Linked DNA regions of Arabidopsis thaliana. The protein of the gene in region 1 interacts with the protein of each later gene in a biochemical or structural test. Each region holds a gene or a part of one and is shown in the gene's direction. Other genes may lie near its edges. The genes, in order: GAPC1, FBA6 and AT5G37890.

Evidence for each region.
Region 2: the proteins of GAPC1 (region 1) and FBA6 interact in far-western blotting, tested with the Arabidopsis thaliana proteins (one study listed by BioGRID).
Region 3: the proteins of GAPC1 (region 1) and AT5G37890 form a complex in vitro, tested with the Arabidopsis thaliana proteins (one study listed by BioGRID).

Annotation. Positions count from the first base shown.
Region 1 is NC_003074.8:1,075,443-1,085,854, forward strand, and holds GAPC1 (glyceraldehyde-3-phosphate dehydrogenase C subunit 1), read left to right. Parts: upstream 1-5,499; 5' UTR 5,500-5,634; coding exon 5,635-5,638; intron 5,639-5,743; coding exon 5,744-5,773; intron 5,774-5,862; coding exon 5,863-5,963; intron 5,964-6,326; coding exon 6,327-6,442; intron 6,443-6,536; coding exon 6,537-6,636; intron 6,637-6,746; coding exon 6,747-6,893; intron 6,894-6,988; coding exon 6,989-7,049; intron 7,050-7,142; coding exon 7,143-7,383; intron 7,384-7,472; coding exon 7,473-7,689; 3' UTR 7,690-8,248; downstream 8,249-10,412. Other genes in the region: AGL57 (AGAMOUS-like 57), read left to right, coding at 1-480; GLR1.1 (glutamate receptor 1.1), read left to right, coding at 1,919-2,174, 2,358-3,565, 3,654-3,966, 4,056-4,390, 4,480-4,794; AT3G04130 (Tetratricopeptide repeat (TPR)-like superfamily protein), read left to right, coding at 8,694-10,220.
Region 2 is NC_003071.7:15,294,452-15,304,863, reverse strand, and holds FBA6 (Aldolase superfamily protein), read left to right. Parts: upstream 1-6,109; 5' UTR 6,110-6,476; coding exon 6,477-6,504; exon of another isoform or gene 6,505-6,724; intron 6,725-6,801; coding exon 6,802-7,029; exon of another isoform or gene 7,030-7,114; coding exon 7,115-7,935; 3' UTR 7,936-8,251; downstream 8,252-10,412. Other genes in the region: AT2G36480 (pre-mRNA cleavage complex 2 Pcf11-like protein), read left to right, coding at 55-1,605, 1,736-1,750; AT2G36470 (DUF868 family protein, putative (DUF868)), read left to right, coding at 4,496-5,479; HRD (Integrase-type DNA-binding superfamily protein), read left to right, coding at 10,007-10,412. UniProt on the Arabidopsis thaliana protein: Fructose-bisphosphate aldolase that plays a key role in glycolysis and gluconeogenesis. Associates with GAPC1 to the outer mitochondrial membrane, in a redox-dependent manner, leading to binding and bundling of actin.
Region 3 is NC_003076.8:15,086,760-15,097,171, reverse strand, and holds AT5G37890 (Protein with RING/U-box and TRAF-like domain), read left to right. Parts: upstream 1-5,216; 5' UTR 5,217-5,349; coding exon 5,350-5,541; intron 5,542-5,991; coding exon 5,992-6,660; 3' UTR 6,661-7,494; downstream 7,495-10,412. Other genes in the region: AT5G37910 (Protein with RING/U-box and TRAF-like domain), read left to right, coding at 1-6, 285-962; AT5G37900 (TRAF-like superfamily protein), read left to right, coding at 2,370-2,513, 2,688-3,269. UniProt on the Arabidopsis thaliana protein: E3 ubiquitin-protein ligase that mediates ubiquitination and subsequent proteasomal degradation of target proteins.

The DNA of each region.
Region 1 (10,412 bases):
GCAATGTGTGACGTTGAAGTGGCTTTCTTGATTTTCTCTCAACCCAAGAAGCCCTATACATTCGCACATCCGTCTATGAAGAAAGTGGCTGACCGGTTAAAGAACCCTTCGAGACAAGAACCATTAGAGAGAGACGATACCAGACCCCTCGTCGAAGCTTATAAGAAACGAAGGCTCCACGACCTCGTAAAAAAAATGGAGGCGCTCGAAGAGGAGCTTGCGATGGATCTAGAGAAGTTGAAACTGTTGAAGGAATCGAGAAATGAAAAGAAGTTAGATAAAATGTGGTGGAACTTTCCTTCGGAAGGTTTGAGCGCGAAGGAGCTGCAGCAAAGGTACCAAGCGATGCTCGAGTTACGTGATAACTTATGCGACAATATGGCTCACTTACGATTGGGAAAAGACTGTGGTGGTTCATCTTCTGTTCGTGTGGGACGTCGAGTTTCTGGTGGTGTTCGTCTGTTCGATCGTGAAGCATGATCATACATATTCATACTTGATGATTTAAATTTCTTTGTATTTGAACTGCTGATTTTAATACTGCATGTATCCATTTGACGAAGCTCAATCGTCTCGAGTATATCTCTATTATCTAACAGTATTGAGAAAAAAGGAGTTTCAGTTTTCAAAAGTTGAAAGACTGAGCCAAGTGATGACAAATTCGAGCGTTAGGGTCTTCACAAATTGGATATTTTGCGAAAAATCATGTTAGTTTTTTATTTGATGTATTATTAATAAGAAATGAGGGTTTCCTTTTTTGAAGTAATCAAAAGAATTTTCCATTTTTGCGTCCAATCATGTAAAACTTAACCATTCCTTTTGTTTCCTTTTAAAGATAAAATTCCTTTTAAAAGTAATTTTTCATTTTCTTCAGAAACCTTTCGGTCATAACCTTCTCTTATAAAATAATAATCTCTTCTTACGAATCAAAGGTCTCTTATTCGAAGGGCAATAACATTTGACCATAAAAAAAACCCCATATATATATACAGTGTATATATATATTTTTGCCCCTTTGTGAAGAAAATAAAACAATCAGAGATGAGCCCTAAATTTTCCAACCATGCGACCGTTTATGTGATCCATCGTTGCGCGGGTATATCGAAGATCGTATTATGAGTCTTTTTATGATCGTATTATCCTTTGTGCGAAGTACAACTATTGAACAAGACGAGAAAAAGTTTTCATTGCGCAGGTAAGTCGCGAGGGAGATGTATTCCATAAGTATTCTATAAGCCAAGTCTCCTAATCTCCCTGGTAACGTTATCTCATTCCACATGTACTCTATAAGTATTCGCGAGCGTGTGGTTTCGATAGAGTAATAATTTAATGATTGTAGAAGGAGATGACTGTGGGATCATCCTAGACTAGAGTTTTAATCTCTTGATTTGATTTTTCCTCGACGAGTTGAACTAACCAGCTTGTGATTTTTTTTAGCTTCTCGGGTTGTGGTAGATTTTATTATATATCACTTGGTTGTCCTATCACTTGAACTCGAATATTTACTTCTACGAATTGACTTTGCGAAATAAGCTAATATATCTAGTATTATGGTTTCCCCTGCATATGTATTTTACATTGTATTTAACCTGGATTTTGAAATCAGTTTTAAAAGTAACTGTTGAAAACATAAATTAAATAAAACTTTTTTTAAGGCTCAACTATACTTTAGAAGGAAATAAATGTGTTTCCTAGTCAATTTGTGTCGATGAACAGTACACATTGACTTTGATTGTGTGCGATATCGCGTTAGTTTGATTTAAAATGATTGTGACCATACACTTCAGAAAATCAAAATGCAATTTGACCGGAAAAAAAAAATGGTCCAGTATAATTATTATTCCATGGCACAAGTAGATATGGAAACACCATTGTTTATAACCCAAAGCGAACGTTACAGAGCTATACAAGAAATTATATGGAGATTCTGTTTTCTATTTCCATTCTTGCTCTTCTCTTTTCCGGAGTAGTAGCTGCTCCAAGCGACGATGATGTTTTCGAAGAGGTTAGGGTTGGATTGGTGGTTGACTTGAGTTCTATACAAGGCAAGATTCTGGAAACTTCTTTTAACTTAGCGCTTTCAGATTTCTATGGCATCAACAATGGATACCGAACCAGAGTCTCTGTTTTGGTCAGAGACTCCCAAGGAGACCCGATCATTGCTCTTGCCGCCGGTGAGTTTTCATCTCCCTTATTCAATTATTGCAATTTTTGGTGGGATCCACAACTCCTCTTCATTTAAAGCAGACTGAATCAAATAAAAAAGAATTGACCTAGTCCCGCCGGTTTACTCCGGTTAACATTCTCATGTCTTGCACTAACCGTTTTGCACTGCAATTTGTGTTTGTATGAAACAGCTACTGATCTTCTCAAAAATGCAAAAGCGGAAGCCATTGTTGGTGCACAATCATTACAAGAGGCAAAGCTTTTGGCGACGATTAGCGAAAAAGCTAAAGTTCCGGTCATATCTACTTTCTTGCCAAACACGTTATCTTTGAAGAAATACGATAACTTTATTCAATGGACGCATGATACTACATCAGAGGCTAAGGGAATTACAAGTCTCATACAAGATTTCAGTTGTAAATCGGTTGTGGTTATATACGAGGATGCTGATGATTGGAGTGAGAGTTTGCAAATATTGGTTGAGAATTTTCAAGATAAAGGAATCTATATCGCTCGTTCTGCTTCTTTTGCAGTCTCATCATCAGGAGAAAATCATATGATGAATCAGCTAAGGAAGCTTAAGGTCTCAAGAGCATCGGTTTTTGTGGTGCATATGTCCGAGATTCTTGTTTCTCGTCTCTTCCAATGTGTAGAGAAGTTAGGTTTGATGGAAGAAGCGTTCGCTTGGATCCTCACTGCAAGAACCATGAACTACTTGGAACATTTTGCAATAACTAGGTCGATGCAAGGGGTCATTGGTTTCAAATCTTACATCCCTGTATCTGAAGAAGTTAAGAATTTTACTTCAAGATTGAGGAAACGTATGGGAGATGATACAGAAACAGAGCATTCTAGTGTAATCATCGGTTTACGCGCACACGATATCGCTTGTATTCTAGCAAATGCAGTAGAGAAGTTCAGTGTAAGTGGTAAAGTTGAAGCATCTTCGAATGTATCAGCTGATCTTCTGGATACAATTAGACATAGTAGATTCAAGGGTTTGAGTGGTGACATCCAAATCTCTGACAACAAATTTATCTCAGAGACATTTGAAATCGTGAATATTGGAAGAGAAAAACAGAGAAGGATAGGATTATGGAGTGGTGGTAGTTTTAGCCAAAGAAGACAGATTGTTTGGCCTGGCAGGTCTCGTAAGATCCCAAGACACCGTGTTTTGGCAGAGAAAGGTGAAAAGAAGGTGCTTAGGGTCTTAGTTACCGCAGGAAACAAGGTCCCGCATCTAGTGTCGGTGCGTCCTGATCCTGAAACAGGTGTTAATACTGTCTCTGGATTCTGCGTAGAGGTTTTCAAGACTTGCATTGCTCCTTTTAACTACGAGCTTGAATTCATACCTTACCGTGGAAACAATGACAATCTTGCTTATCTACTTTCTACTCAGGTGTGAAAATGCAAACAGTTTAAAAACATTTTTCTAGTCAAAAATGATTATGTATGTTTCTAATAATGTGTGTTTGCAATTTTGACAGAGAGACAAGTATGATGCAGCAGTTGGTGATATCACCATCACTTCCAACAGATCTTTGTATGTTGATTTTACTTTGCCGTACACTGACATTGGTATTGGAATCTTGACAGTGAAAAAGAAAAGCCAAGGGATGTGGACCTTCTTTGATCCTTTCGAAAAATCCTTGTGGCTAGCAAGTGGAGCTTTCTTTGTCTTAACTGGGATTGTTGTTTGGTTAGTTGAACGGTCCGTTAATCCGGAATTTCAGGGCTCTTGGGGACAACAACTTAGTATGATGCTCTGGTTTGGTTTCTCAACCATTGTATTTGCTCACAGTAAGTGTTTATGTTAGAGTACTACTCTTCATGAAATCCCATCCTTTTGTATATTTTGATCTATAACAAATTACGCACATTCTTGGCAGGAGAGAAGCTACAGAAAATGTCATCAAGATTCTTAGTCATAGTTTGGGTTTTTGTGGTGTTAATATTGACTTCAAGTTACAGCGCAAACTTGACATCAACCAAGACCATTTCTCGCATGCAATTAAATCATCAGATGGTTTTCGGGGGATCTACGACGTCAATGACTGCGAAGCTCGGATCCATTAATGCAGTTGAGGCCTATGCACAACTTTTGCGAGATGGAACTCTTAATCATGTCATCAATGAAATACCTTATCTCAGTATCCTTATCGGAAATTATCCGAATGATTTCGTAATGACAGATAGAGTGACTAATACCAATGGCTTTGGCTTTGTATGTACCCTTCTCCTCAAACCTCTCATTTTCTCTCCATTATTTGGTTACTTATTCTTGTTACGTACTAATTTATGTTTACCTCTCAGATGTTCCAGAAAGGTTCGGATTTGGTTCCTAAAGTATCGCGAGAAATCGCGAAGCTAAGATCATTGGGAATGTTGAAAGACATGGAGAAAAAATGGTTTCAAAAACTGGATTCACTAAATGTACATTCCAACACCGAGGAAGTTGCATCTACCAACGACGATGATGAGGCATCTAAGCGATTCACCTTCCGTGAGTTGCGCGGTTTGTTCATCATTGCGGGAGCTGCTCATGTTCTCGTACTAGCCCTACATCTCTTTCATACGCGTCAAGAGGTATCACGACTATGCACCAAACTTCAAAGCTTCTATAAGTAAAAAGTGATCCATCGTTCATAAGCTCTACTATAGCAATTGACGGGACAGGACTCATAAGTAACAACAAAGTACACTTCGAAACAAATTTCACATGTAATACTTGTTTTTTTTTCCCGTTTAAATTCACATGTAATAATTTAATTCACGTAAATACTAAAGTGATTCACCCATCACGAAGTATTTTTTGAATTAAATACATCAACTAATCGAGTTTTTGATAGGGACTTTTGCTTTTTTGAATATTGCTTATCAAATCAAAATTTTCAAATTCTTGTCCATATACGCCTATCAAATATCTTCTTTTAAAGAAAGTCTCCTAAAGAGTTGAAAACTTGAAATATATACTTTTCTAAAATATAATTTTATTTGGGCGTTACGTTCTAGAAAATGGAACCCGTCTACTAAAATGGGCCGCTCGTGAACTCGTGGCAGTCAAACACTGGTCGGCGCATAAAAGCATATCCAAATACGCTGCGTTTCATGCTTACCCGACCCGTCTTAAATATTTAAAGAATATTCCAGATTAGCGCGTGAGATGCAGTTGCCATGTCTCGCCTCAGGAATGACGACATTTGCCAAAATAACAGAGCTACAACGGTAAATAAGGAAAATGATTAAGGGCAATTTGGTCTTTTAGGTTAAGAAAAGTATTGAATCAGATCTGACTTTTTGGCCAAGAAAAACTCTCAGCCACTAGATCATTCCGACCCCTCCTCCACGTTCTTCTCTCTTTTAAATAACCTCTTCACGGAACCCTTCTCACTCACCTATCTCACTCTAAAATCTCTCTCTGCCAATCTCATCTTCAACCTCTCTCTAACTCTCGTTTTCGATTCTACAATGGGTTAGTCTCTCGCTTTTACTAATCTCTCGTCCCGTCGCTGCTATTTTACGTTGTTGAGTTTTCTGATCTGATCGTTTTTCTGATTTTGTTTGTTGTTTTATGTAGCTGACAAGAAGATTAGGATCGGAATCAACGGTGAGTTTCGAATCGATTTTGTAATTCGGGTTTGTATGTTCTCATGTATCTAGATCTAGAATCTGACTGTTGATTTCTGTTATCGTTAGGATTCGGAAGAATTGGTCGTTTGGTTGCTAGAGTTGTTCTCCAGAGGGACGATGTTGAGCTCGTCGCTGTCAACGACCCCTTCATCACTACTGAGTACATGGTTAGTGTTCCTTCCTTGGTTTTGACGGTGATTCGATCTTGGTTTGCTTCAATATTATTTTGATCTCTTGACGATAAGATTCTGTTAGTCGCTCTGGTACCTTTGCTTTCGTTAGATTTGATAGATGGATCATATCATTTATGGATTATGCATGTGGATTTAAGTGTCAGATGATTTGTTCAATTAGTGCACAGATCTGGAAACTGGTTTAGTGTTCATTGTTCATACTGTTTAGCTGATCAGTATACTTGTGGAGCTGTTGTTTGTTTTGCTGTGTTTGTAATGTTATTGATTAGCCTGTTTGTGATTAGAGTTGATATGGTTGAGTTGATTTTGATTGCGCTCTGTGTTTGATTGCTGCAGACCTACATGTTCAAGTACGACAGTGTTCACGGTCAATGGAAACACAATGAACTCAAGATCAAGGATGAGAAGACCCTTCTCTTCGGTGAGAAGCCAGTCACTGTTTTCGGCATCAGGTACATTTATCAACCAGTTCTCTGTCTCTTTGCGTGTATACATATTACAAACTGTTGTGAATTTCAATCTCATTAGTTTTTGGTATTTGTGAAGGAACCCTGAGGATATCCCATGGGCCGAGGCTGGAGCTGACTACGTTGTTGAGTCTACTGGTGTCTTCACTGACAAAGACAAGGCTGCAGCTCACTTGAAGGTTTGTCTTATTTGAATTGGTTATTTTTGTCTTGTAATGATATAAATAGTTTATGTGCTAGAATTTGCTTAGTATCATTCAACTAAATTTGTGACTTGTTGTATTTTCAGGGTGGTGCCAAGAAGGTTGTTATCTCTGCCCCCAGCAAAGACGCTCCAATGTTTGTTGTTGGTGTCAACGAGCACGAATACAAGTCCGACCTTGACATTGTCTCCAACGCTAGCTGCACCACTAACTGCCTTGCTCCCCTTGCCAAGGTAAAATATCTGATATTCTATATGATCAAATTTGACTTTGTATTTCAAGTTGAAGTGACTAATTTCATTTAACGTTCTTTGATTTCATTGTGTAGGTTATCAATGACAGATTTGGAATTGTTGAGGGTCTTATGACTACAGTCCACTCAATCACTGGTAAATTTATCAATCAGTTAGAAGTTTATTACAAACTTGCTTGCCTATAGGTGGAAAATTTGTGATTTAATGGGGTTTGCTTTATGATTTCAGCTACTCAGAAGACTGTTGATGGGCCTTCAATGAAGGACTGGAGAGGTGGAAGAGCTGCTTCATTCAACATTATTCCCAGCAGCACTGGAGCTGCCAAGGCTGTCGGAAAGGTGCTTCCAGCTCTTAACGGAAAGTTGACTGGAATGTCTTTCCGTGTCCCAACCGTTGATGTCTCAGTTGTTGACCTTACTGTCAGACTCGAGAAAGCTGCTACCTACGATGAAATCAAAAAGGCTATCAAGTAAGCTTTTGAGCAATGACAGATTAAGTTTACTTATATTCCAGTAGTGATCAAATTACTCACCAAGTGTTTTTACCACCAATACATAGGGAGGAATCCGAAGGCAAACTCAAGGGAATCCTTGGATACACCGAGGATGATGTTGTCTCAACTGACTTCGTTGGCGACAACAGGTCGAGCATTTTTGACGCCAAGGCTGGAATTGCATTGAGCGACAAGTTTGTGAAATTGGTGTCATGGTACGACAACGAATGGGGTTACAGTTCCCGTGTGGTCGACTTGATCGTCCACATGTCAAAGGCCTAAGCTAAGAAGCAGATCTCGAATGATAGGGAGTGGAAAGTCATCTGTTCATCCCCTTTTATGGTCTGAATTTGTCGTTTTCGAATAAAATTTCTTTGAACTTGGAACTTTTTTTTTTTTTGGTTTTCTTAATTCTCATTCATGTGAGGTGATGGGAGTTTGTAGACCGATGTTTTACTGGAAGCCCTTTGTTTTTGGCTTTTGATATATTGAGTTAACGTTATGGTTTTCAATTTTGTTCCACTTCTCTTTTTAACTATATACTAAATCAAATCTGAACGAAAAATGAAACTAAATGAGCTCCCGTTGATGATGACGTAGCAAATCTAAGGAACTAGAGGTGTACACTTATTAATCTAGCTTCTTCTAGTTTTCGAATAAAAGTTTCTAAGTGGAACCTATATTTTATGTTTGCGATTCTCATTTATGCGAGTTTGTAGACTGATGTTTGAATGAAAAGTATTTCATGTTGCCTTTTGTTATTGATTCTTCTCAAAACATAAGAAATTCATTAACAGATGTGCGGTTTATAAAGACAACGAAATATGTGTTCATCTGTAAAGGTACTTTGAACAAATTATTAAACCATGTTACACAAATTCACGTATAGTGGCACTTCAATTATTTGTACACATCCGCATCGAAAAAATGGGGAGGTCGTTGATATACGACACAAGAAGGCCCAATGCCAAAGCCCAGTTGGTCAAACACAAAGCCTAACCGGTTTTTCAAACCAGACGGTGTAAAACGCTTCCAAAACCAGAGAGCCCAACTTTGGGCCGTAAACCCTTCTCTTGCGATTAGTCCTCCTCAAATTTCTCCGGCAAGAGGCCGTCGTCATTTTCACAATTTCCCTTTGCTCCATCTTTCAGGTACGATCTTTGAGTTTCATGTCTAACTTATTTTCGTCATATGTCACTAGTAAGATTCAAATTTCATTGATGATGATAAAAATTTGATTTTCCTATGGTTGCAGTTGAAGAACCCTGTTCTGGGTTTTAGATTTAATGTCTTGGCTTATTCAAAATCGCATTGGAAACACCTTGTTACGCCTTAATCCTTCTTCGTCTTCTATCGCTATTTTCTCTACGTTTATCAAGAATCTCTCTACTGCTTCGGAGCAATTACCTGAGACACTTGATGAATATTCACAGTCTGAGGAGATATGGAATGTTATTGTAGGTAGAGACGGTGATAGAGATAGTGAAGATGATGTTTTTAAACGTCTATCTAGCGATGAAATCTGTAAAAGAGTCAATCTTTCTGATGGTTTGGTTCATAAGCTGCTTCATAGGTTTAGAGATGACTGGAGATCTGCGCTTGGTATTTTGAAATGGGCTGAGTCTTGTAAAGGGCATAAACATTCGAGTGATGCTTATGATATGGCTGTGGATATTCTCGGCAAGGCGAAGAAATGGGATCGGATGAAGGAGTTTGTGGAGAGAATGAGAGGAGATAAACTTGTTACTTTGAATACAGTTGCTAAGATCATGAGGAGATTTGCTGGTGCAGGGGAGTGGGAAGAAGCTGTGGGAATATTTGATAGGTTGGGTGAATTTGGATTGGAGAAGAACACGGAGTCGATGAACTTACTGCTCGATACGCTTTGCAAGGAGAAAAGAGTGGAGCAGGCCCGAGTAGTTTTGCTACAGCTGAAGTCACATATTACACCAAATGCTCATACGTTTAATATCTTCATTCATGGTTGGTGTAAGGCAAATAGAGTTGAGGAAGCTCTTTGGACGATCCAAGAGATGAAAGGTCATGGTTTTCGTCCTTGTGTTATTAGCTATACGACGATTATAAGGTGTTATTGCCAGCAGTTTGAGTTTATTAAGGTCTATGAAATGCTAAGTGAGATGGAAGCTAATGGGTCTCCTCCGAATTCTATTACTTACACAACTATTATGTCTTCTCTTAATGCACAGAAAGAGTTTGAGGAGGCTTTACGGGTTGCTACAAGGATGAAAAGATCCGGCTGTAAACCCGATTCTCTTTTCTACAACTGTTTGATTCACACGCTTGCTCGAGCTGGTCGGTTAGAAGAAGCTGAGCGGGTTTTCAGAGTCGAGATGCCAGAGCTTGGTGTTTCCATTAATACATCTACCTATAACTCTATGATTGCTATGTATTGTCATCACGATGAGGAAGATAAGGCGATTGAGCTTCTCAAGGAAATGGAAAGTTCAAACCTTTGTAATCCCGATGTTCATACGTATCAACCCCTGCTGAGATCTTGTTTTAAGAGAGGAGATGTTGTTGAGGTTGGGAAACTATTGAAAGAGATGGTGACTAAACATCATCTCAGCCTCGATGAGTCGACTTATACTTTTCTGATACAGAGGTTATGCAGAGCTAATATGTGTGAGTGGGCGTATTGTCTATTCGAAGAGATGATTAGCCAAGATATCACGCCGAGGCACCGCACTTGTTTGCTGCTCTTGGAAGAGGTCAAGAAGAAGAATATGCATGAATCAGCTGAGAGAATCGAACACATTATGAAGACTGTGAAACTTACTGCACCTGTAAAGTGAGGTTTATTAGTTATTATGACGACTTGACTGTTACTTCGCAGATTGGGATGAGAAGTGGTCTCTTCATGCTTGCGAAAGAAGACAAGACCAGATCATGCATAAAGATGTTCATTGTGTTGTTTATTCAACCACATTGTAGTGTAGATTTCAAGTTCGTTGGTCAATGGATATGGACAAGAAACTTGGACTTCG
Region 2 (10,412 bases), on another chromosome or scaffold:
TTGTGATGTATCTCATTTTAATTTGTTAGCTTTTAACCATCTCCCATCTTGTAGGAATCTGAAAACCACCTCTTAAAACGACCAAGGTTTTCAGCTCTCGACCCAAGGTTTGACCCAGCGAATTCAACAAATTCATATTCCAGCGAGCAAAAAGATCCAAGTAGTATTGGGCACTGGGCGTTTTCTTCTACCAATGCAACCTCGACTGCAACTAGAAAGGGAATTCAGCCTCAACCAAGGGTTGCAAGCTCTGGAATTTTGCCAAGCTCAGGATCTGGGTCAGATAGACAATCGCCTTTACATGATTCAACTTCTAAACAGAATGTGACCAAGCAAGATGTTAGAAGAGCTCACTCACTCCCCCAACGTGATCCTAGGGCTTCCCGGTTTCCAGCAAAACAAAATGTTCCCAGGGATGACTCTGTACGGCTCCCATCTTCAAGTAGTCAGTTTAAAAACACAAATATGCGTGAACTACCAGTGGAAATCTTTGACTCTAAGTCAGCAGCTGAAAATGCCCCAGGCCTTACTCTTGCCTCAGAAGCTACAGGACAACCCAACATGAGTGATTTGCTAGAAGCTGTCATGAAGAGTGGAATCCTTTCTAATAATTCAACATGTGGTGCGATCAAGGAGGAAAGTCATGATGAGGTCAACCCGGGGGCACTAACCCTGCCAGCAGCCTCTAAGCCTAAGACTTTGCCAATTTCATTGGCTACTGACAATTTATTAGCTCGTTTAAAAGTTGAACAATCCTCCGCACCACTTGTCTCATGTGCAGCGTCTCTTACTGGCATCACCTCAGTACAAACGTCAAAAGAGAAAAGTAAGGCCTCAGATCCTCTTTCATGCCTCTTAAGCTCTTTAGTTTCGAAGGGCTTGATATCTGCTTCGAAGACAGAGCTGCCATCGGCTCCTTCCATAACGCAGGAACACAGTCCTGATCATTCCACCAATAGCTCTATGTCTGTATCTGTGGTTCCAGCAGATGCTCAGCCATCTGTTTTGGTGAAGGGGCCATCTACTGCCCCTAAGGTAAAAGGGTTAGCTGCACCATCTGAAACATCAAAATCTGAACCCAAGGACCTCATAGGATTGAAGTTTAGGGCGGACAAAATCCGTGAACTTCACCCTTCGGTCATTAGTAGTCTATTCGATGACCTTCCCCATCTCTGCACCTCCTGCAGCGTTCGCCTTAAACAAAAGGAAGAACTTGATAGGCACATGGAGCTGCATGATAAGAAGAAGCTCGAGTTAAGTGGCACAAACAGTAAATGTAGGGTTTGGTTTCCAAAGGTTGATAACTGGATAGCAGCAAAAGCGGGAGAGTTAGAACCTGAATATGAAGAAGTTCTGAGTGAACCTGAGAGTGCTATTGAGGATTGTCAAGCCGTAGCTGCTGATGAGACCCAATGCGCATGTATATTATGTGGAGAAGTATTTGAGGATTATTTCAGTCAAGAAATGGCTCAATGGATGTTCAAGGGAGCTTCTTACCTGACCAATCCTCCAGCCAACAGTGAGGCCAGTGGTCCTATCGTCCATACAGGTTGTCTGACCACGAGTTCATTGCAGAGCTTGGAAGTTGGAATTGCAATCAAGCAGGTAACTTGTAGCTCTAGTCAATTTGCGACTTTTGGTCATTCTAGGGCTCTCTGATCTCAAACTTTGTTCTTTAATCCTGCATGAATCCACCTTTACGTGTTTGTTTCTCGTTCGGTTCCTATTTTGCTAGGAAATTGTTGAGTAGCCTCCATATAAAGACCTATGGTGGAGGAAGAAGTGGCATCACAGAGGAAACAGGTTCGTGATTCCTCTGAGTTCCTCATGATGCTAGTTTTGTAGAAAAGTGTCGAGCTTTTGAGTTAAGGAAAAAAGATGTGCAGCATTTTTAATTTTATTTTTTCTTATTTGTCTCTCCTTTTTCATCATATACAAATACAAAAAGAGCAAAGAGGCCTTCCCAATATCGGACATTTCCATATTCTATGCCTTTCTTTCGTGTGTCACAAAAGAATATGCGGGTTTCTTATGAAAGTGAAACACAGATTTGTCACGTTAACGTCTCTTGAACATCCAACGCAAAGCCATGAGACCATATATAGAACTTAGCAATTACTATTTCTGTTTGAAAGATTTATGTTGTCATATCTCTTATTTGAGGGTGGTTGTGGTTATCATGTGAATCCTCGTAGAATGGGAGTTGCTTTTTATTATATGAACCCTTGACTTGCTTGCAGATTGGGGAAAGAGCAAAATTAACATTTATTGGAGGGAGAAAAATGCAAAAGGTGTGAGAGTTAATTAGTGAGTCTTGTAATGAATGTGTAGGTGGGAGAGAGTAGGCTAGAAAAAAAGCAGAGGACGGTCTCTATTTCTTCGCTGTTCCTTGCTTTTAGGAAAACTCAATTTTCACGTGAACAAGAAGCTCATCAAAATTAATGTGGTATCAGCATAAGCAAACTTTCTTGAATAAGCAACTAGTCATTACTTTCAATTGCAAACTTTTGAGAACGTCATTGTGGATACAAAGTTTGTTACCAATGGAAATGGTCAATATTTGGCCAAATAAAGGACAACATCCGAAAATGGTATTTTATACATTGGCGGCATGTAGCAGATTAACAAATGTAAACCCTTGTTCATTTACAATTATTTATCTAATGAAAATATTAATGCTAAGTAGGGCACATATATGATATATCCAATAGCACGATCGACTGAAACTTTCCGAGCATGAATGAGACAAGTCTTCCAAACATGTGTTTTAACTAAATAGCCACATCAACCCTGTTTTTGAATAACTATAAATTGTGGAAAAGGAGATTTAATTATCATTGTTTTGATGTTGTTGTAGGTAAGATGATTGACTTGTAAGCTTTAATGAGCTTATCCAATTGTGTTTGTTTTTAAAAATAGACTCGATTTGTTTTCAATTCGTCCGTCTTGATGACTCATGATGCCATTTCTCAAATTTTATAACACTCAGAGAAATACAAGTCCAAGATGTGATTTGTTCCTTTTTGTTCATTTATCATGTTTCGTTTCTTGTCTTCTTTATTTTTTCCTCGTGATGGACTCTTTTTTTTCTTTTCAGTTTCTAATCTTAGTTTCTCTTTAATTATGTTTAGAACCTAAGATTTTACGTGAAATTAAAGATGTCTAGAATATATCAGTTAAGGGTCAAGTCTATTCACATCTCGTGTTCTATTTTGCACGACTGCATACTTTTTCTTACTTTCGAAGACGTCATTTGGAATACTATCTTGTATTTTCCTTTAATTAACGACTATAAGAAAATACCAAACACACACATCTTATTACAACCTAAGCTGTATAAATCAGGTCAACGTATTATTTAAGTTCATTTGTTTGTTTGCAACAATATATATTTAATCTTGTTTCCATGAATTATGTTATAGTAATACTAATTAATGATTTTAATCGTAGAAGCAGTGGCAATTCATTTAAATACATAACGAAAGAGCCATCTTTTTTTCTTTTTTTGGACAATTGAAAGAGCTATCTAATGTCCGTTCCTTGGGTTTTTTATAAAGACAGTTCTTTAACGACCTTATGAGAATTTTCCACTTGCAGTTGATGTTTGAGACTTTGAGTTCGAAACTCATAAACCTTGACATGTTATCGAAAACTAAATTGTTGATACATAAGTAAAGTGGTCTAACTGTCTAAGTAATATTTTTGGCCGATCGATAAATATGATTCAATTATAAAATGAATTTTAAAAACACATCATTTCTAGATAGTTTCACATTAAACAAAATTGACTATCAAGCATTGTATCAGCAAAAGAAAGATATCAAGGGGAAGAGAAGAGTTTAAAATTCATAAATGTTGATAATGCAAGGAACATGGTACAAAATATCTAAATTTCATTTCTGCAAATCTCTTGTCGTTAGCTCATCTTTTCCACATCTAACTTACATTTAATGATGGATTCGTATTTAAATTTTACATTTTCAACAAGAGTAACAATAAAAAAAAACACCAATCCATATAATAGACCAGACGAAACTCAAAAAGTCAGAAGAGAAGAGAGACATCTTCACATGGCCGAATGAAACACATATCCAAACGCCAAGGACAAAGAAGAATTCATCACTTTCTTCCATTTCTTCTCTGCAACTTCCGTACCAAAAAATACATAAAGCCCTAACTAATATTATTTCTCCACCAAGTTTCTTTATCTTTTAGTTTCCCGGTAAAAAATCTCTCTGTCATGTCTTATGTTCTTCCACGTCGTTCCTAATCTCCCAAGACAGAATCTCTAAACTTCATTTTGCTCCTTTTCCACACAAAACTTTCTCTCCCTCCAAAGACCACAAAAAATGTTCTTCCTTCCTTCAACTTCAAGTATCTCTCTTTATTCACACGTATAGCATCCAAAACCAAAAATCTATAACCTTTTCCTCTGTAAAGTTTCTTCCTTTCTAACCTTCCCGAGAAAAAAACAAACCCTTTCTGTTAGAAAACCATGAGAGGTCTCGCGGCTTGTTACAGTGAACACGCCATTAAAGTATCAGATACATATTGTTCAGGTCCATCGAATCATTCCTATATATCTCCGACATTACCTCCTTCAATCCCCGACACAGTAACCACCACTTATAGATCCAATCTCCCATCTTCCGACAAACCCGTCTCTGTTTCACTCACCTGGTCGGATAATCTCACCGTCGTCATCTCAACGCCGCCGAAATCATACTCTGTTTCACTCAGAAAACCTAAAGGATCAAGAAAGTTGACTTCTTCCTCCGGTTCACTCAACGCCGAGATCCTCTGGGATCTATCGGAAGCAGAGTACGAAAACAACGGACCTGAACCAATAAGAAGATTCTTCGTCGTCGTCGTTGTAAATTCCGAGATTACCCTCGGAGTCGGCGACGTTGACCACGAGCGAGACACGTCATCATCGTCGTCGTGGCGAGTCTCAAAAACGGAGAGATTCTCTGGAACTTGTTGGCTCACGACGAAAGCTCAATTCTCCGACGTCGGAAGGAAACACGAGATACAGATTCAATGCGGCGGAGGAGGAGGAGGAGGAGGAGAGGAAGGGTATTTATGGAAAGTGAAAAGTCCTGAAACGATGTCGGTTTATGTTGATAAGAGGAAAGTGTTTTCGGTGAAGAAGCTTAAGTGGAACTTTAGAGGGAATCAAACCATGTTTTTCGATGGAATGCTTATAGACATGATGTGGGATTTACACGACTGGTTCTACAAAGAAACGTTGTCGTCTGTTTCGACTAGTTCATCGTCTAAAACGGCGTCGTCGTCATCGTCTTCTTCAACTTCATCGTCTACTCCTCCGTGTGCTGTGTTTATGTTTAGGAGGAGGAGTGGTTTGGATAGTAGATTATGGATTGATGAAGATGAACAAGAGAGTGAGATGAAGAAGAATATTGGTTCTAGAGATGAGAAACATTCGTTTTCACTTATCATTTGTGCCTCTAAAAAGTGACCAAATAAACAAATAAACATTTTAACATAACTCTTCGTTGTCTGAAATTTTAATTTTAAGAATATTTTGTGTTGCATTTAGGTATATCTGATAGGTTGATTAGATCAAATGTTTTTGTGTTTTTTCTCTGCCAAATGTTCGTGAGAATGCAAGAGATATTCAAATTGTGTTCATCAAAACTAAAATTTATATTCAAAACCGTGGATGGCAAACTATGCATAAGATAAAATGTACATAATTTTTGTTATCTTCTAAAATAAATGTACCTAATTTAATAGCCTAATAATATCTTCTAAAGTTATTAACTTTTGTTTATGACAATGATGATGATAGGAGCATTTTCGATATTTCCAAAAAAAGAAATGGAAAGGACATTGCAACAAAATTGAAAATTCAAACAAACAAACAAAATAAAAAGTGCAGCTAGGGGATAAAATTCAAAAGGCAGGATAGAAAATAAACAAGAAAGAATTCATGAATAAATAAAAACACTAGAAGTTGAAATTCTGAAAAATACTTGAAAAGAATTGATACAATGAATTTGATGATTCATTGTCCGAATTAGACTACTCACAGTCTCACATAAATATCAATTCTAAATTTTTGGTTCCAAGATCTCAAAGTCTTCACTTCTCATTTTGTAAACACAATTTTTTTCAAGGGAAACAAAAATTGAATCATTTTACCTGAGGAATATTATTGGGCTACAATGGGCCGTAGTGAGGCCGAAGTCACACCTTAAATAGAACGTGGTAGAAGTTACTATAATATTAGAGTTACAAACCAGTAATCACGGAAGTAGTAAAAACGGCCCATAGAAAGTATAAACAATCCAACGGCTGAAAAAGCTTACCTTGGAGAAGAGTCCAAAATATCTTCTGGAAGCTACCATCACTCTCTCCTATATAACTCAAAATTCACCATCATCTTCATCATCATCATCATCATCATCCTTTCTTTATCCAACTTTCTTCACCAAATCGATTCTTCTTCAACCATGTCTTCCTTCACCTCCAAATTCGCCGGTAACACTTCATCTCTCTTTCTCAGTACTCTGTTTATCAATTTTCTGCACAATCGATATTAATTTGTGTCACAAGTTTGGATTCTTCGTTGATACGGTGCTACTTTGATGCGATCTCGTCTTCTGCACTAAAAATTGATAGATTATCCGATCACGCACATCAGAATGATTTTAGCTGTCTTCGATTTGGTTTTTAGGTCTTACGGTTTAACGTTTTTGAGGTTTATATAAAGGCTTTGGACTAGTTGTTTAAGTGATCTGACTATACGAGTCTAATTTTTGGGTTTTGCTCTTGCAGATGAGCTGATTGCTAACGCTGCTTACATCGGAACACCTGGAAAAGGTATCCTTGCGGCAGATGAATCAACTGGTACTATTGGGAAACGTCTCGCTAGCATCAACGTTGAGAACGTTGAATCCAACAGACGTGCTCTTCGTGAGCTTCTCTTCACTACTCCTGGAGCTCTTCCTTGCCTCAGTGGTGTTATCCTCTTTGAAGAAACTCTTTACCAGAAGAGCTCTGATGGTAATTGACAGTTTAACATCGCTATATGTCTGAATCTGTGTATCATCGTTGACTTTGATTGGGGTTGATTTTGGTTGTGATGCAGGTACGCCTTTTGTTGATATGTTGAAGAGTGCAGGAGTTTTGCCTGGTATTAAGGTTGATAAGGGTACCGTTGAGCTTGCTGGAACCAATGGTGAGACTACTACTCAAGGTCTTGATGGTCTTGGTGACCGTTGCAAGAAATACTACGAGGCTGGTGCTCGTTTCGCCAAGTGGCGTGCGGTTCTTAAGATTGGTGTTAATGAGCCATCTCAGTTAGCTATCCATGAGAACGCTTATGGATTGGCTAGGTATGCTGTCATTTGTCAGGAGAACGGTCTTGTGCCGATTGTGGAGCCTGAGATTCTTGTTGATGGCTCTCATGACATTCAGAAGTGTGCCGCGGTGACAGAGCGTGTTCTTGCAGCTTGCTACAAGGCTCTGAGTGATCACCATGTCTTGCTAGAAGGAACACTCTTGAAACCTAACATGGTTACTCCAGGATCAGAGAGTGCGAAGGTTGCACCAGAGGTGATTGCTGAGCACACTGTCCGTGCTCTTCAGAGGACAGTTCCAGCTGCTGTTCCAGCCATAGTGTTCTTGTCTGGTGGACAGAGCGAGGAAGAGGCGACAAGAAACCTTAACGCGATGAACCAGTTGAAGACAAAGAAGCCTTGGTCGTTGTCTTTCTCCTTTGGAAGGGCGTTGCAGCAGAGCACTTTGAAGACTTGGGGAGGAAAAGAGGAGAATGTGAAGAAGGCTCAAGAAGCGTTCTTGGTCAGATGCAAAGCTAACTCTGAAGCAACACTTGGTGCTTACAAGGGTGATGCTAAGCTCGGTGAAGGTGCAGCTGAGAGCCTTCACGTTAAGGATTACAAGTACTGAAGAAAGAGGCTGAGGATCGTAGTTTTTATATCATCGTTTATGTTCTTGCTTTCACTTTCTCTGTTTTTTGTTTGGTGTTTTGTTTAGAAGAGTGGTGGCACCAAAGAACCCCGTTTATACTTTTTTATGAGGTCTTTGTGTTCTTATGAAGCCTTTTTAAAAATGAATATTAGCTTGTTGGGTTATAATTTAACATTATCAATAGTGACGACATTTGGGCGGTTGTATAGTTCATAATGTCTACCAAACTCAAGAAAATAGAAAAGATCATCGAAATATTTTGGACTCCCAACTTTGAAACCCAAAGGTAACATACAATCTCTAAAAGGCCTCCTGGCACAACAGAAGAACAGGCCAGTGAGGCTACCAACCATGCTTACACATTTCAACATCCATATTTTTTAGCATTAGAAAACTCTTTTCTTTTGAATGTTGTATTTATTCAATCAAAACGAAATATGTACATATTCTTTTTTTCTTTTGTATCAGTGATCTACTTGCAAACTTTTTGGAATCCTTTGATATCACCACTATTTCTACGTTGAAAGGATTTACCGACTGCTTTAATAATATAGTTAACATTCTACCTAGTAATTAATTTATGGCATAAGAAGTAAGATCAAAAGCAAAATTTTTACTAGACAATGTATTTTATATACACAAAAAGCTTTTGTTAGGCAAGCATTAAAGCTAGCTTACCATTATTAAAATATATATATATATATATATATATATATTTATTAGAATCATTCTCTACGTAGTCAATAGAATAATTAGTTTTGATTTTTCGTTAGTTACAACAACAAAATATCTGAGAATTGAGAGACTTTGAGAACATATAGACACCATACTTGGAGACTTTGAGAACAAATAGTATAGACACCACAACTTTCACTTAGACTTTGGGAAACTATAATGAAACCAAGTATTTACTACACCGTGGGTTAGTTATAGATTCAAATTAAGTGGTATTTGTAGCCAATACATTAGTTAGCATATGAATCTAGTACTTGTTCTGATTTATTTTCTGTTAATCAAGTTTAATTAATTAGTTTACAATGTTTATGCTTGATTTTTACATAGATATCCGACAGCCTAGTAGATCAAGTGCCAACCGGCACGCACCAGCAGACGTAGGTGATAGAGAAAATTTGATTTAATTAGGTGAATTTCTTTTTTCACACACATACATCTATGGTGGGAACAAAGATTCCACGGTATATCGAGACATGAAATGGATTTCTTACCCTAATCGATTTGACAAGTTTGAATGAGAATAATCTAGAAAATCTATTACATTATATTAATGTCTAGTGGGGATGATAAAGCCTCAAAGAAATTGACCCAAACGAAACAGCAATCACACACTAACTTCTTCTTAGCATTTCTAAGACACTTTTCGATGTGATTATTCTATAAATATCCGACCCTTCACCAAGTCAACTCTATATTCATTTCTATTCTGAAATAACCATTAACCCCAAAGTAAGCAATATATAGGAAATACATATATACATTATAGTCTTATTATGACATTGGAGAAGTTGTGGTTTATACCCCTGGACATGGAGTGTATATATAGCAACATTGAAATACAGTTTCACAATATGTAAATAACACAAAATTATACCAAAAATATTGTAAATCACACAAATGAAGTAGATAATTTTAATTTTTATTGAAGTGTTTTCAATAAAGTGGTGTCAAGATCATGAGAACACATGTATTTTCATGAACCTGTGATGGCGAAAACGACCACTTTAGATAGAAACATATATACATCATTTGCAACTTAATTGGCCACCACCCAAAAAAACGCGATATCCAACAAGAGGAGCAATTAAAAAGCTGTCTTTACAGCTTTAGCTTCATCATCTCTAAGCTGTGATCAATTCCTCCCAAACCATTTTCTAACTGGTTTGCACTTTCTTCACTCTCTTCTCTTCACTCTTCACTACGTACTTCACTCTCCAACTAACTTAACTGCACCATAAAATGGCTTCGATCTCTTCCTCTCCTTCCTCAAACTCATCACTCTTCTCTACTCAAAACCCTAATACTCATTATCAATATGCAAGGAACCTCCAAAGACAATGGCGGCCGCCACCCTTTGTACAGGGGAGTAAGGCAGCGAAAGAACTCAAACAAATGGGTTTCTGAGATCCGTGAGCCGAGAAAACCTAACCGTATCTGGTTAGGAACATTCTCTACCCCCGAGATGGCGGCAATAGCCTATGACGTGGCAGCTCTAGCCCTCAAAGGCAGTCAAGCTGAGCTCAACTTCCCAAACTCAGTTTCCTCTTTGCCTGCCCCAACCTCCATGTCTCCAGCAGACATCCAAGCAGCAGCCGCTTCGGCCGCTGCTGCTTTTGGTGCTGCTAGGGATGCGATTGTTATGGCAAATAATAACAGCCAAACAAGTGGTGTGGCTTGCATGAATAGTAGTTATGATAATACAAATATGAATGGATTCATGG
Region 3 (10,412 bases), on another chromosome or scaffold:
TTCCAGGTTTTGTGTCTTATATGAAAATTCACTTTTTTTTTTTTTTGAATAATGTCAAATTATAGTCAAAAAGAAAAATATACGTTTGTACAACTTCGTGAGGTTGAATGTGAAATTTTAAAAGAATTGCTTAGGAATTGCTAAAAAACTGAACCATTCTAAGATGCCAATGAATACTGTTATCTGAAAATTCAATTGTCCAGTTTTTAATATCTATATTTTTTCTCGAATTTTGAAGGTGTAGTTACAGCTTTTTAACCACAATTTGTATTTTGTTTTTTCAGTGTGATAATGGGCATTTGGCTTGCGGTTCTTGCTGTCCCAAACTGAGTAATAAGTGCCCTGCATGTACTTTGCCTGTTGGTCACAGTCGCAGCAGAGCAATGGAGAGTGTTCTTGAATCTATTTTGATCCCATGCCCAAACGTCAGGTTTGGTTGTACCAAGAGTTTCTTTTATGGGAAAGAGTCAGCTCATGAAAAAGAATGCATCTTCTCTCAATGCTCATGCCCTTCATCGGTCTGCGATTACACTGGCTCATACAAGGATCTCTACGCTCACTATAAACTGACTCACTCCACGAATATTTTCTGGAATATTAAGCGCTTTAGATGTGCCAATTTCTTTACGACCTCCATGCTCATCAGCGATAAGATACTAATTAAAAGGGTACATGAGAAGAAACTATTGCTTGCAGTGCAGTGTTTTAGGGAACCGTGTGGTGTGTATGTGACTGTAAGCTTCATTGCACCATCTGCTCCAGAAGTAGGAGAGTTCTCATATCAACTCTCCTACAATGTGGATGGACACACTGTGACTTATGAATCTCCGGAGGTGAAGAGGGTTTGTAAAGTGAGTATTGAAACCCCTCAAGAGAATTTCATGTTGATACCTCACAGTTTATTGCGTGGTGACTTGTTGGAGATGCAGGTTTTTATCATCGAAAATGTGGACCAAGAGTAAGAAGTTGAGGTGATATATAGAACTAGGAAGGTCATTCTATTATTGTTTTCATATTCCTATGTACATGGAAACTCTTTTTGTCTCGTCTGTTTTATTTAACATATAAGCTTTGCCCCGATGAAGTAAGACCCGATTTGATTGCTTAACGGCTTGATTTAATTAGGTTTCAGTTTAACTAGATTACAACTTTGATTATAACTCGTTTGGTTTTGCACTTAATGTGATGAAATCGACCAACCAAACATTTCACAGTGTTTCAACCGTTCCATCTTTTCAAATGTATTATTATACAGTACATGCTAGGTATTAATTGTTTTAACACAACTTTTGATATATGTCAAGCTTTAGTCCATAAATTGTCATCACTCTTCTTTGTTTATATGCTGATGTAAACATACTATGACAAGACTGTTCGTTTAAAAATGTGGCGACTTAATTGTGCGACCCATAAATACCTTAAGGTTGGAGCAGAATACAAGCTGAGTATGAAAACCGATCCAAGCTCAAAAATACCGAAATCAATGGCTAGAAGAGTCATCATCTCAATGGCTAGAAGAGTCCTCACCGAAGTATTGTGGTGTGTAGTTTCTTCTCCTGTCTTAGTAATATTCATCAAGTAGAAATTTTAAGCTCTTGCGGTGAAACTTGAATGATGTTTGCTTCATTCCATGCTTCCTTGATCAAAATTATTCCATGGTTTTGACTTATGAGAAACGTAAATTAAATATTTGGAAACATGCGAAAATTTAAAAACCAATTAATATGCCATATAAGATAATACAGTAAAATATTAAAATATTTGACACATGTTACAATCAAATTGATCATCACACGTATCATGATGATAATGATGTTAGTCGTTTAATTGTTTTTATAATTTTCCTCTTCATAAGTAAAAAACCTAAAATATATTTAACACATGTGAATGTCTGATTGATTGACTACACATATATCAGTTGCGTTAATTACGATATGAACTTGTGTCAAATACTTCTTCAACCCTTACACAAAACCCTAATTAAAATAAAACCGAACATACACGTGTTCTTCTAGCTTTCCCTTGCGTTTTTGGTTTTCAAGCTCTAAGGTATTTAACAAGATTTCCTTTTTCTGGTTAGTTTCCTTTTCCTTAGTTAGTTTGGATTTGTGTTTACCACTCCTAAGAGATGTATTAAAAGTTGTCTTCTACAAATAGATCTATCCATCGTTGTTTAAGAGATATCAGACTTGTGTTTTGAGATTTAAAAAGTTGGCGTTTAAACACTCTTTTTTTTTTTTACTTTTTTTGGTACGGAAGTCTTATAAAAGTTTCGAACAAACTCTTCTGCCTTCATCAGTCGAGGATGTTTTAAAATTGTTTGATTAATGAAAATATGATAATATTTTTACTATTGATATCTAGGTGACATGGTGGGAGCCTTAGAAGCTTTGATATCTCAAGGTCATGGAGGGGAGAGAGTGGCTAAGAGACAACGCTCGGCGACATTGCTAGATCTTGATATCCTCGATTGTCCTATTTGCTGTGAAGGATTGACGTGTCCTATCTTCCAGGTTTTGTTTCTTGTCTAAAAATTGTTTTTTTCCAGCTTTTAATACATATTTTTTTTCTTGAAATTTTTACAGTGTTTTTTTTTTTGTATGTCAGTGTGAGAATGGACATTTAGCATGCTCTTCTTGCTGTCCCAAACTGAGGAACAAATGCCCTGCTTGTGCTTTCTTTATCAGCCAATGGAGAATATTCTTGAATCGATATTGGTCACATGCCCAAACGACATGTTTGGTTGCACCGAGAGTTTCTTATATGGGAAAAAATCAACTCATGAAGAAGAATGCATTTTCTCTCTATGCTCATGCCCTTCATTGGACTGTGAGTACTCCGGCCGATACGAGGATCTCTATGATCACTATAAACTGACTCACATCTCGAACTCATACTGGACCACTAACTGCTTTAGATCTAGCATTCCATATAAGGCCCCGATGCTTATCAGCGATAAGATACAAATTACAAGGGTATATGAGAAGAAAATATTGTTTGCAGTGCAGTGTTTTAGGGAGTCGTGTGGTGTGTATGTAACCGTAAGCTGCATTGCACCATCTGCTCCAGAAGTTGGACAGTTCTCATATCAAATCTCCTACACTGTGGATGAACACACTATGGTTTACAGATCACCACAAATGAAGAGGGTTCGTAAAGTGAGTTTTGAAACACCTCAAGAGAATTTCATGTTGATACCTCACAATTTATTGCGTAGTGAATTGTTGGATATTAAGCTTTCTATCGTCGAAACGTCGAACCAAGAGTAAGAATGTTGAGGTGATATAGAACTAGAAGGAAGGAATGTCATTTTTTTACTCTCTCTATCTCGTCTGACATTTATATAAGTTTTGACGAACTAAGATCCGATGTAATTGCTTAACGGCTTGATTCAGCTTTGATGCAATTTGTTTGGTATTGCTTAACACGTTTTTGTGCATTTAGAGTGATAATGGAAATTTTGATGGAATCGACCAACAAAACATTTCACAGTTTTTTAATCTAATAACTTCTAAGCTATACTTTATGCATGACCAAATTGGAGTAATGCGTGCTCTTTCGTTTGTCATGATTATGGTCTCCATCTTTTATTCTACTCTTAGTCGAAATCTAATTATAAGTAAACGTACGAACGTGTGATGTCTAAAAGCAGAAGAAAAAATTTAGTTGTGAATTGTGATTCAATGATTAAAGAATTCCAATATGGTAGTTTTAACTGCAATTTTACATATTAGTTAAGAATATAAAAGCTAATACCAAAATTCTTAAATCTTTAGCAGAAAAAATAATAGCAAAAGTTAAAATAGAAATTTCCATAAATAGCACCATTTCAAGTTTTTGGAAAAAAATAGCACTCAAACATTTTTTGGACAAAATAGCATTCAAATAATTATTTTATTTTTAATTATTAAAATTAACAATTAAAAAAATTCAAAAAGTACACAAATTCATCATTTGGGTGAATGCTCTATGAATATGCTAACACAAACTTTTTTTTTATTAGCAATCTGCTACTTCTGCATAGTAATTGACCCTATTCAAAAAAAATGAACTATATAACTCATAAATTGTTAATTCTGCAAACGATATGGTTATTGAAATTATATTGGTTTAAGCATATACTAACCTATATATCTGTTAATTCTGTGAATCAACCGCCGATTTTTTCCTTGCGTTTCCAATAATATTTTCCTCAAGGTTTGAATTACTAGCTTACATTGTATAGCACTCCATTATCTTCATCATGTAGATATCGGACTCTTTAATCTTAGCAGTCTACCACCAAAAATCAAAAGAATTTTTAAACATTTAATTTGAAAATTACTTGAGGAATAGAGGTCAACACTATGATATATTAAATTTAGAAATTACCTGAAGAAAAGAGGTCAGGACTCTGATACTGAATGGAGTGACATCTATGTCGTGGAATCTTTCAAAGAATCATTTCCTGAATTTAAGAAAGATTCTACAAAATTCAGGAAGAGTTTTAGGAAAGATTTTTTTGTGAAATCTTTTATGAATTCCGTGAAATCCTTCCCAAATTTCGTATAATAATCTTTCCTAAATTTTTTTTATGGGAAACATTTGACGGATTTTTTTTTGTGAGAAAATTTTGACAAAAATCTTTGGCGAGAAATATTTAATTTTATTTATTTAATTAAATTAGTTATTTATATTAAATATTTAATAATTAATTAAAGTTTTGAGTGTAATTTTGGAACTATTCAAATGAGCTGCTATTTTTGAAGAAATTGTTTTTTTTTGCTATTTTTATCAATCTTCCAAGGTAAAATTAGTCTAGTGGTTTGTGATTGCCCCAAATCCCAACTTCAAAACCACATTTTTGACAAAAAAATAAATAAAAGCTACATAACTTTTAAAAATAAAAATTAGCTTATTAATTAATGTAGCAAAAAATACATAAACTATTAAGACTAAATAAATAATTATTATTGTATTTTGTAAAATTTAGACATTGTTTCTGTTATATATTATATGGGCCTTAATTGGGAATTGAAGAATTAAAAAATACATAAACTTTAAGACTAATATTAATTTTTAAATGGTTTTATATATATAATTATATTCTTTTATATTGTAAATATTAATAGACTTAAAAATTAGATATTGTTTATAAGTTTATCAAAAAAAGGTATTGTTTATATATTATATGGGCCTTAATTGGGAATTGAAGAACTATCGAAGCCCATATCATCTATAGTTTGTGCCATTGTCTCCTTTCTCTGTAAAACCATCCATCAATGAACAAAATCAACTAAATTCTCTATTTGCCTCTCTCAGTTTTCGAGAAGACTAAAAGCGAATTTAGGGTTTAGTCATCTCTCCGACATGGTTGGTGCCGCGATTTTGGAATCTCCCGGCGAAGGAATTGGATCTAACAGCATTCTCTCGCAAAAGAGACAACTTTCTTCTAGTGATGCAGCTAAGAGAGACGCTAAGAAACGCTCGACAATGCTAATGGATCTGGAGATTCTCGATTGTCCCATTTGCTACGAAGCTTTCACAATTCCCATCTTCCAGGTTTCGTAATTTCTCAAATTGAATCATTTCGTATTTTTCAGAAAGTTTCTGTTTTGGTTAGAACTCTGAACATAGTTGGAACTGTGGCCATTTACTTGATTCTAAGAGTAGCCTTAGCTTTTGAGGATTCTAGTGAACTTTTGAAAGTTATGTTAAAGAAATTGCAGAGAGAAGAAGTTGGAATTGTGCCCATTTACTAGTTACTAGATTTCAAGAGTGTCCTTAAGCTTTAGCTTGTGATGATTTTATAGAATTCTAGTGAACTTTAGTAAGTTATGTTCATGTATGCAGTTGTATATAGTTATTGAAAATATGTGTATAACTTGTCTATATCATGAATTATATGGGAGAATCATTTGGGGAGAGAACTATTATCCTTGGTCGATTCGATGAATATTATCTCGACGTTGTTATAGCTTTTGATCACAAGTTATTGGTTTTGAATTTCAGTGTGATAATGGACATTTGGCTTGTTCTTCTTGCTGTCCCAAACTAAATAACAAATGCCCTGCGTGTACTTCGCCTGTTGGCCACAATCGCTGCAGAGCAATGGAGAGTGTTCTTGAATCGATCTTGATCCCGTGTCCGAACGCCAAGTTAGGTTGCAAAAAGAATGTATCTTATGGGAAAGAGTTAACTCATGAAAAGGAATGCATGTTCTCTCATTGCGCCTGCCCTGCATTGGATTGCAATTACACTAGCTCATACAAGGATCTGTACACTCACTATCGTATTACCCATATGGAAATAAACCAGATTAATACGTTCATTTGTGACATTCCCTTAAGTGTCCGGATGAACATCAGCAAAAAGATATTGATTAGAACGGAACACTTGACGAATCATTTGTTTGCAGTGCAGTGTTTCAGGGAGCCGTATGGTGTGTATGTAACTGTAAGCTGCATTGCGCCATCTTCTCCAGAATTAAGTCAGTACTCATATGCTCTCTCTTACACTGTCGATGGACACACTGTGATTTACCAATCACCAGAGGTGAAGAGGGTTCTTAAGTTGAGTTTTCAAACCCCGCAAGAGAATTTCATGTTGATTCCCAACAGTTTATTGCGTGGTGATGTGTTGGAAATGAGGATTAGCGTCAAGAAGTTGAACAAAGAGTAAGAAGGTTGGGGTCTTCCTGTTAGAAAACTCTTATCTGTCTCGTTTTAGTTATCTTAACCCGCCCATAGTCGTTATGGTTGATGAGGGTTGTAATTTTAGAGACTTGGTGCAATCGACCAACAAAACGTTTCACAATGTTTTCAATCTAAACTAAGATATAATTTATGCATAGGCCATTTGCTATGAAGCATTGACGATTCCTGTCTTCCAAGAAGATTTTTCCATCTTTCTGATTCTTATTTCTTGATAACTAAAATTCTTCCAGGTTTTGGTGTTTCTTGTTATAAACTCTGTATTAGGAACAACGAAGTTGGAAACTTGCCCTTTTACTAGATTCTAAAAGTTACAAAAACTAGTTTTGTTTTGAGGATTTGAGGATTCTAGCGAAGTTCTACAAAATATGTTCAGTTTTGGAGTTGTAGTTCTTGAAAAGTGTGTATAATTTAGCAAGATCAAGTATATATCATGAATTATAAAAAAGGTTAGTTAAATATATATATATATGGAGGATGATATAATTAAGAAAGTATACATGGACATATAATTATATCCCATAGGACAGAAAAAAAGAGGTTGAAGAGGGAGATCGTCCTCACCAGAATCCATGGTTAGGGCCTCACCAGAAGAGGTTGGGTTGTCTGTTTGTGTTAATGTGTATACCAAATTCGGTTTTCCACCAATTTCCTCCTTACAAAATACACCCATTGAACTCATGGCTGCTAATATGGAGATTTGGATCGATTTTTGTGATATTCTTCTTCTCCTTCTCCCCTTGCATATATATATTAGCCAGCCATTTAATATAAAAACTTGTGAATACAACTAAGCTTTCTTTTGTTTTAGTTGAAAGCTTTTTTATATTCTTTGTTATAAAAAAGTCGTTCATTATTTTTTTTTTCTTTTTGTTTTTTTGTTAAAGAAAGTCGTTCATTATTGATTTCGGAGAGCTGTTCAATTATCAAGACTTCGGATTTTCCGGATCTTGTTTCTAACGATTGGAAGTTTGAAGAAGCAAGACTTCGAATCCCATCTAGGAACAAGAACATATCGTGACTTCACGTTGGACAACTGTAAAATAATAGTGTACAATACAATACATGATAGTATTTGTTATTACTTTAAAATTAAACAAGGAAAATACGACAAGTCTACAACGCAGATTAAGTTAAATATTTTTCTTTTTCTGCTAGTGATATGATTCTTCTCTCCAAAAGTATATCTCTCACACAAAACTTGCTTAGGTCTAAACAATAATCTTAAAATATTTACATGTATATATTTTTGCTAAGGTTTTTGACCAAAAATCCCTCACCTATTTACTATTTTCAATATTAGTCCTTACAAATTTAATCTCAATCAAATACTTTATAACTAAAAACTTACAATTAGTTGAATTGCATTAATTAGTTGAATCAACTCTTCCTAATTTTTTATCCTTAACTAAATTTTTTTTTATTGAACTATATTCGATTAAGGCTAATTTCCTAAAATCTATATATCAACATTAAATATAAATATATAATTTTTCTGTCATTATCTTTGTTTTTATATATAGCTATTTTAGTTTATATATAAAATACATATATTTAATAAAATATTAGATTTTTTTGCATCCGATAAAATTCAAATTTTTTAAAACAGACATATAATACTCCATCGATAAAAAAAAAAGTTTTAAAGGTCCCACATTGCTTAAAAATTTGGGACATCGTTAAGAGTCATACTATAAAAAATATTTAAGTGATTCTGAATACGAATGAGAAGGAACCTTGATATATCAAACATCCAAAATTAAAAGTATTGTTCGGTTTACTCCGGTTCTTTATTTTAAATAAGTAAAAGTTTTAAAGTTTTAAAATATTATATATATTTAAAATTTATTAAAAGTTAAGTATTACAATTTCTTAAGAAAATTTAAAAGTTAATAACTATAAAATAAATTTAATATTAATGATTTAAAAATTTTAAAATTTTATGAAGTTGTAAATTTTGTAAATATTTGAACTTTATAAGAAGTTAAAATATTATAAATACTAAAAATATATTAATATTGAACGATATATTACGGGTGAAATCCTATATGTAACAATCAATATACAATTATGAAGTTTGGTCCATATTAAAACTTTTTTGAAGTTTCTAATATTATAATTATTCGAACTTCATAAAAAAATGATAAAATGATGTTTAATTTCACGGGACGAGGTTATATGGTGGGATAGGTTTGGATCGATATTAATACGGAATGATACAATTATACAATTTTAAACACTAAAAAAAAATAGTTATAAAAATCATACAGAGGTGTATCATACTATCATACATAAAAGACAATAGCATGTATCTATAGATCATCCTAAAAACAATAATAATATTTTTAATTTAATAAAAATATAGACGTTTGATGTACCTCTTGAATATGTTATATATATAAACAATATTAATAAAAATAAAATATCTAATTTTCTAAGAAATATTTCAACCCTGGATGTACCGCGGGTCAATCTCTAAATAATACAAGTTAAAAAATAATAATAATAATAATACAAGTTTTAAATCTTTATTACCTCTAAAAAACCCAAACCATAAAAATAAATATTGAATTTTCATAATTAACTAACAAATATGAGAACATAAAAATGAATTATCGAAGCTTTACATAAATAAAAATTATGTGTTAAGAATATATTATTTATATACAATTAATAATTTTTAAAAAAATTATCTATAATTTTTTAATGAACATATCCACCCGTGGTACCGCGGGTTAATATCTAGTATATATATAATATAGGTTAGTAAAAACGTGCAGGGTCTATTTTACAAATAAGAAAAATTTCTAGACTTCTTAAAGACTTTATGATACGTGAGAAATATCCTTGTCGATAAGGGTGTCGATCGGTACTGACGTGGTGTCGATCGATACTGACGTGGTGTCGATCGACACCAACGTATGAATAATGTTTCTGCTTGTCTTCTTTTCCTGAAAAGCTTCCAAAATTCCTTATTATGCTTCATAGCTCTTAAAAGTAGATATGCACCTGTAATGACTAAAAAAGATACAAAAAAGATTAGAAAGACTATAAAAACCATTCTAATACTATGTTAGAAATCAGTAAAAACCATGATATATCTCATATAATTTATTGACTTTTATTTGGTAATTGTATACGTGTGTTAGATTATTGTTGTAAGTTGTTACATTATACTCTAATTGTTTAATTGTATTTTAAAATTTACATTTATTTTATTTATCAACCGTATTATTGTGTCCTTTCTTCAATATATGATTATGCACATCAAAATAACTTTAAACTTCTTTATTAAATTCCACAAGTGTATATATAGTAAATAATTAGTAATTAAATGCAATAATTTCTTACCATATTTTTCAATGATGGAAGAAATAGTAAATAATTTGAATATTGATCATATAAAGTATTTGAGTTCTTTTGATTAATATCAATTAGTATCAATATATCAATATTCATATATGTTAATCTTTTAATTAATCAAGACTTTTTTAATCTCACAACTTTGAATATTTTACAATTTACACACATACTAAAATCAATATGATATAAACAACTTACAAATTTGAAATATATCAGTTAAAAAAATATTGCATATCATTTTCATAGATTTAAATAAAACGCAAAACTTATATTGTATATCAATATTATAATTAGCACTTTTGATTAATTTGATAAATGTTTAATATAAAAATAACAAAAATCTAGCTTTAGTTTATA